Xenopus tropicalis: one gene and its partner. The protein of the gene in region 2 interacts with the protein of the main gene of each other region in a biochemical or structural test. Links are inferred from orthologs where the notes say so. Each region holds a gene or a part of one and is shown on either strand. Other genes may lie near its edges.

Region 1 (4,205 bases), about 49 Mb from region 2:
TTTCAAACTACTGCCTGGTTGCTAGGTTAAACTGGACCCTAGCAACCACATACCATCTAAAATACCAAACTGGACAAATAAGAAAACTGCTAATAAGAAAAAATGAAGACCAATTGCAAACAGTCTTAGAATAGCACTCTCTACATCATACTAAAAGTTCATGAACAACCCCTTTAACTATTTGTAAGTGGCAAGGTGTTACAACAAAGCCATATTTCAGCATTTGAGGAATGTGCCAGGATTCAGATCAGAATGCTACCAAATCTCAGCATTTTTGCAGGTTTAAGTCTCAGACAGATCTTTCGATGAATCTGTTTTGGATTCAGATTGGTATTCAGTCAAATGTTTTCTGAGATATTGGTATTATGGATTTGGTGCATCACAAATGCATATTATAATGCTATCAGCATAAGAAACATCAATATCTAAAATAATCTAAGCGTATAAATTACAGATGAAAGAGAGAACACTAGGGGTAATTCAGATACCAGGAGTAGGTTTTCCCATGCGCAGAAATCCAGGCTGCAACTCTTTTCTAAAATTCTGAGCTTGATGGCTTAGATTTTTTAAATATGAAAGGCAGCATACATATTTAAATATCCATAGGGGTTTGCATTCAAGGTTCTGTATTTATATTATGCTAGTAGTTTTCTGCAAGACTAGGTGGAGAAACATCAGGAATGTTTCCCTTCAGCTCAGTTGGAGGTTACCTGTTAAAAGGTAATGTTAAGATATTTGTGTGTGTGGTTCTGCAGGTCTGTGTCAAACTGTGAATTGTGAACATTTTACAACAGTACAAACCACTATATAACACTTAGAGCACTGCTAAATTCTGTGTTTTGAAATAAGACTGTACCTAGAATCCTCAGCTCATAGCTTTTTCCCCCAAAAGTCATATTAATGACTTGATTTCCATGCCATATTCTTAAGGGCTTTGGGAAGCTAAAAAAAGATGTAAAGAACCTGAATCTTGTTTAATACTCACGTAGCATACAGACATAAGTGGGTATGTGGGAGTTAAAGTCAACAGATCTTGTACCACAGTAAACTCAGCCGACAGCCCAAGGTACGCTAGATATCACACTCACTGTATGCTGCAATATTGCTCTTGCTGGACCAACTACTGTTAATTTTCATTACAAAACTACACCACTGAATATTAACTTGCTCATCATGCAGCACATAAACACCATGAGGCTATAACACACATTACACATCACAGAACAAAAGTATCAGTCTTACAGTGATTCAACCTCCCAACAAATATGCTAACAGAGTGACATACCTCCAATCCATCAGGACTGTGAGGTGTCACAATCTAACAAGTTCCCTTTTAAAACTTTTACCATCCCTTTGAAAGCATGCCAGTCTGTGTGTACACAATGCACATTTATTTGCAAGTTAAATTACACAGTGGTACAGTGTGCAGCATATGAGCTAGAAAATAACATCTTCTTACCATATTTGAATATTTGACAATAAAATAATGATTACACTCTTAGAAGAAACAGCATTACAAGTACATGAATGGTATTTGGCAATGTGCTGAAGCAATGTTTAGGTTTTTATTCTTAGCTAGTTCAAAGGCTGCCAGACACCCTTCCTTGTTCCACTTTCTATACAACCCAGAACTGATCTATTGTGATTAGTGAGCTAGCACAGGCACTTACACCAGCTAATCCAGCCCAACGGACAGTGACATAAAAAAGAAATGCTCTAAAATGTTTGACTTTCATCTATTTTATATGTCACTGTATATGACAACACAGTTCTGTAAGCTGCTGTGCACCTTCCTTACAGAGAAGATTTCTTACCTGTGAAGAGGAGCTAGTGAAACTGAAAAAGGAATGCTAAATATGTTCATGCAATATCATTATATTTAACAGCTAATTTATATTACTGGTTTGGAGAGGGATGGATAGAGATAACTCCTGGCACTCCACTATGCCTACTATCTGTATTTCTTATCAGCTAAGAATATTATAGGATTGGGAGAGTTTAGTAAATGCCTACACTTAAAGCAGGTTACATTTGTGTACAGTTTTCTATATGACCATGATGTTGTCAAGTCCCTAAATAAAAGCAATAAACTAATTTCTGGCCAGCTACAAGTAGCAACTACATATCTACCTGTATGGCTTCCAATGTAGTCCATTATCAGGCTAATTTCATTAGGAGCCACTGACACCTCTATCTGGCAGGTGGCATGTTTCATTGATTTTCATTGGACAAGTATTTTATAATGCTGCCACCACAGGCAAATTCATAAATTCTGATTAAATCCTGAACCAAGAAGCAGCATATGATCTCCCAATATTCTATAAACTTTAGTATCCTCAAATACACAGAATAACCCGCCCCCTATATTAGTCTTTATATATCTGACTGGACAAGTATCCTCTCCTGTTTACCCCCAGCATGGCATGCCACAGCCTTTACCCTGAGACCCGCAAGCTGTCACTTCTCAGCTGTCACAGAGCAGCTAAAGCTCTAAATGAATCCTGAAAGCTGTTGAAGCCGAAATTGCAGCTGCATGTCCGGGTACAGCAATGGGCACCTGTGCCACAGCTCTACGTGACCGACTGCTCAGTGAGAGCAATCCTTGCTCGCAGGAAGCACAAGGTTCTGCTGAGAGCACAGCTCTACCTGCTCTAGTCACGCAACTAGTGGGTACAATGAGAATGAGACCGGTACCTTTTTAATAGCGTTAGTGCCTCTTAGTTCCTTGTTCAGAGTGCCAAACTCCTTCACTGCTACTTCGTCAGTGGCCCTGGTTACGCAGCAACTCACAGCATTTTGACTAAGAGACGAATGAGCCCACCCCCTGGCCGATAGACACAACGCACGTCCAATAGAGAGGGGAGAAGGGCATGACAGCCGTCCAATAGGCAGTAAGTATCGAAACCAGGCTCCTTCTTTTAACTGCGGTCTTTTCCGAGAAACTGCAGTCCATTTGACCCGACTGACTATATTACATGCCTCCCACGGGCACTGTGAGGAAACCGACCCTAATTACCCGAAACCCTGCACTTCTACAGGAAGGCTCAGGTGGTCTCCTCTTACACGTGGTTCGAAGGAAATTTGAAAACCAAGTATTCTAGAAAATAGACAATACACGTGGTATAACAGAGATATATGTAACAGAATTGTGCGAATAAGTGACAAAATAGGTACAGTAAAAAGGCTTAATAATAAACTAATAAGCAATTGTTTATTTTATATTATATACAAAGTCTGGAGGTGTGGAGAATAATTTTTCAACCTATGTGGTTACACAGGGTGCCATAAGGGGAGTTTGCCAGACTTACATTATATACCTCACAAGGGCCAAACATGGAGCAGCTTCAAGAAACAACAAAAAGCATTTAATGTTTATCAGAGGCAGCCCAAGCAGGCTGGGCCCCTTAGACAACCCAGCCAGCCACCCCGCTCTTCCCCCTAATGCGCCAAGCAGCGGCGGGAGCCCCGGTGAGCCCTTCACCCCCCAGTCCGACCCTGGGTGGAGGGTGACTTTTTTGTTTGGGGAGGCTAGAGATGGGCCATACATAGACTGACCTAAAGCTAAAGTGAGACTTAGTGGATTCGCTGCTGCTGTACAAAATATCTCTTGCGGTTCCCACTAACTCCCAGGGATACTGTGAAAAAGTGCGGATGGAAGTGCTCTTTTCACCCTAAAATGCTTAGGATGTAAAGGTATTCATACATGCACTTCTGTGAGGGGATCTCCAAGCATTTGTTTTTGTGATCAGTTAGCTTAAATGTGTTTTAGTTTTATTGAGAGAAAGGCAGTGGGTTCTGACATCCCAGGCACATTATATACAGTCTGTATTTACAAAACCAGCACATTATATGCAGTGGGTCAGGGCCGCCATCAGAAATCACAGGACCCCTCACAACAAAATTTTCTGGGCTCCCCTCCCACATGGCCCCTCCCATCGGTCCAAAGGACACACAGACAAAAATATATCAGGGCCCCCCATACACAGTGCCCTCATAATGCTATGCTGACTAGGGCCCCCCTAATCCTATCCTGGCCCCAGCCCCCCATACACATAGCCCCCAATTGGCCCCCCGAAGACAGTGCCCCCAATTGCCCATACACAGTGTCCCCAAAGACAGTTCCCCCCTAACGCTATGCTGGCCAGGGCCCCCCATACACAGTGCTCCCCAAAGACAGTGCCCCCCAATGCTATACTGGCCAGGGC
Region 2 (3,500 bases):
GGACAGTGGGAGATAAATACACGAGGGTGGGGGCTTAGGCTGTACTATTTGTGGAGTGTTTCTACTTGATATGAATAAGAAATGTATTTTATGCAGACGGTCAGTGACTCAGGAAGATGTGTTCATTAGAGGAACCATGCCAGTGTCTGAGGTAGGAGGTACCTGATGGCCTATGCTGAGGTGTGGGTGTGGCGTGGGCAACCCAGGTTCCAGAACATGCATCTGCTCCTCCATATGTCTGTAGAGTTGCTGCAGCTGGGGAGGTTGAACACTCTGCAGTTCCGTCAGCTGGGAATCAGGGAATCCTTCCAGTTCTCCATGTAGATGAGGGGTGGGATACTCCCAGTAATGTTCTAAGAGAGAAGCTGATACAGAGTTGGTATCATTAGGTGCAGTCTATCCCTTGTTCTGCTTTCAATATCCAGCCCACCCATTTTATTACTCCTGCAAACCAATTCACCTTGCAACTAATTCAATATACTCTAATGAATTCTCTAACTGTTCTCTTTTCTGCTGTTCTTTGCTGTAACACTAATAGGCCCAGAGTTTGACCCTCCATTTTTTTTGTGTGGTCTTTGCCATGGTTGCTACAATGGTAATTGCTGCGAAATACAGTTTGTGCAAGTGTCCCTTTTGCTTACCATGGCTCTCACTGTCACTGAGGTACGGGTAGTATTCATGATGTTGGCGGTAAAGCTCGGCATCATAAGCGATCAGCTCCTCCGGATGTGCCTGAGAAAGGAGATAGACCAGTCACTGACAGAAACCTAACCAGTAGCTACAGAATCATTCATACAAAACCAGCCTAATGGATTCCATGATCATCGCTAGTCATTTGTTAAACAGAACCCTCATAGCACCAAACAAGCAAAGGCGCGATACTGTTGCACAGTGATCCCCAACCAGTGGCTCAGGGGCAACATGTTGCTCCCCAACCCCTTGGATGTTGCTCTCAGTGCCCCCAAACCAGGGAGTTATTTTTGAATTCCTGACTTGGGGGCAAGTTTTGGTTGAATAAAAACAAGATTTCCTACCAAATAAACCCCTGTAAGCTGATAGTGTGCATAGAGGCTGCCTAATAGCCAATCACAGCCCTTATTTGGCACCTCCATGGACTTTTATGGTTGGGGGCCCCTGCCGTAGCGTGTAGATCCTTCAGCATAGGGCAGTCATCAATAAAATGATTATTTTGGTGGCCATTATACAAGATGCTTATGGCCTCTGGCCAGAACCCAGTTAAGCTACTCGTATATTTTTGGCTGTAGGAGGGAATAAACAGAAACAAAAGATAAAAGAACCATTTTTGTTGGCATTGAACCAAGACTCCAGTGGTGCGAATAGTATAAAGTGTGATATTATGTTACAAATAGCTTATTTCATTGGTCAGAAAGTGATTCACTGTGACCCAGGGTGCAAATGCAATGGTCACAAACTCCCACTCTTTAATGTTCCTTTAAAAACCACTTGTGTCTGGGGACTGGCTGCCGTCTCCACCAAACACTGGGCTGGAAGATCTAAAGTTCTTTGTCAAGATGTTTATTAACACAAAAAAGTAACGGCAAAACCTTATAAAAATGGAAACAAAGGAAACCCAACATTCTGAAAAAAAATCTATTTGTGTGTCCGTTCTTCAAGTCCCAGTAACTGGAAATAAAGGCAAGTACTTGGTACTGAGGGGTGTGAAACTGTCGTGCAGGGGATCGGCCACATTTCTTAACAACTCCTCTAGTGTTGGTTTTTACATGTTGTTACTTGGAATCACTGATGGTAACACTTTCAGCATGGCAAACACTTGAAATAAATACTAACACCCATTTGGCAGGCTAGACCAAATTCCTCTATGTTTGCATAGTATGTGCACATCAGGGTATGAAGAAGACCAACAAGGTTGCAGGAACTGATCTCATAGGGTCTGCAGAACTGATGAACCAGAGTGCTCATTCACCATAGTGGGGCAATGTGCGCCCCTGTGTGCCCATTAATTAATAATGGCTCCCTTGTTTTACGAAGGGTAGGGGATCCCAAGAATTTCACAGATTGGCAATGTGCGTATATGCCCATCAAATGCAAGGAATAACCCTAGGAACTCAAGTTAATGGAGTGCGCATACAAAGAGGTAGTAGGGATGGGGCTGTGTGCTGAAGTAGAACTTGAGTGCTCTAGAACTGCCTGGAATAGTGGCACTGTTTATTGTAAATCTGGTTCCAGTCATGAGTTCTCACCATTATGAATACCAAGGGAGCTGGCATAATTACGGGAGCTGGCTATGCACTTTGAGATCCACTTGTTTGGCAAGTTTGATAAAAATGAGTGGCTACACACACGGGTATAGGAAAAGTTGGTCCAGGGACCGCATCAACGAGCCGTTGCGGTCCCCGATCCGACTAGATTTTTTAACCTGCCCAATCGAGATCTGGCTGATTTCAGGCCAGATATCGGTCAGGCAGCCCCGTCGGTAGTGCCCATACATGGGCCTATTAGCTGCCGAATCAGTCTAAGGGACCAATATCAGTAGCTAGAATCGGCCCGTGTATGGGGACCTTTAGGGCCAAATTGGGCCTTGACCAAATGATCAGATTATATTGTGGGCTTACAGTATGCTCAATTGATATCTTGCCTGGAGGGGGGAGTTGGCATCTTTTATCTGTTAGCCTTAACCTTTAGGGTGGCCATAAATGACCCAACAAGGTACTCTGTCCAATCAATGCACCCTCAGGTTGAATGGATAGTAGGGATTAGTTTTATCAGCTGACTGGGGGCAGTGACAAAAGGGGGTGGGGTATTACATAAATGGGGGTGTGGCCAGAAAGGGGTGGTGCTACAGTGCATCAGGCAGATAGAGAATTGATGGAGGATAGATTGGGGAAGGAAAAAGTTAAGATTGAGTTGGGTCAAGGTCTTAGGTGGGCGGGCCAAGAGCTAAATTTAGTGATATTAAAATTTTACCAGCAACTATATAGCCGGTAAATATGTAATACCGGCCCCGGCTTTGGCAGGTGTTTTAACAGCCAGGTGGTATCCCTATTGGATAGATAGGTATGACTGCCTTTCTACTGGGCTATTTTAAAATAAAGAGAAGCTGCAGATACATTGTTCGAACAGGCCTGATCCCTAGACCAACTCATCAGTGGGAATGGCACCCCACCAAGGCCAGCTTAAATCTACTGAATATTTTGTTTGGAAATTTGGGTTTTGGAAATAAATTTCTTACCTCCTGTCTAGAAACTCTGTTATAGCAGGAAGTGAGGAAAGCAGGGGGTTTCTGTTAGAGAACTGCACCCTATATCGCATGTTCTATCTAGTTCTGAAACGTATTTGATAAGTATCTCGGAAGGTTACAACACTCTCCTGTAACGCTCTCTCATAGATACTGTATATCATGACCTGCATGAATGAGAATCTTTATAGACATATAGGGGCATACTAAGCAATTAGGAGATAAAGTCGGATTTTTTTTCCTACTTCTAGATAATCTCGAGATTTACAAGTGGGTTTTCACC

What was found.
Region 1: the proteins of spi1 (region 2) and irf8 form a complex in vitro, tested with the Homo sapiens proteins (3 studies listed by BioGRID). The link is inferred for Xenopus tropicalis from reciprocal best matches to the Homo sapiens genes SPI1 and IRF8.

Annotation. Positions count from the first base shown.
Region 1 is NC_030680.2:64,720,716-64,724,920, forward strand, and holds the start of irf8 (interferon regulatory factor 8), read right to left. Parts: upstream 2,801-4,205; 5' UTR 2,695-2,800; intron 1-2,694. UniProt on the Homo sapiens protein: Transcription factor that specifically binds to the upstream regulatory region of type I interferon (IFN) and IFN-inducible MHC class I genes (the interferon consensus sequence (ICS)). Can both act as a transcriptional activator or repressor.
Region 2 is NC_030680.2:15,874,808-15,878,307, forward strand, and holds part of spi1 (transcription factor PU.1), read right to left. Parts: intron 733-3,500; coding exon 642-732; intron 366-641; coding exon 163-365; intron 1-162. UniProt on the Homo sapiens protein: Pioneer transcription factor, which controls hematopoietic cell fate by decompacting stem cell heterochromatin and allowing other transcription factors to enter otherwise inaccessible genomic sites.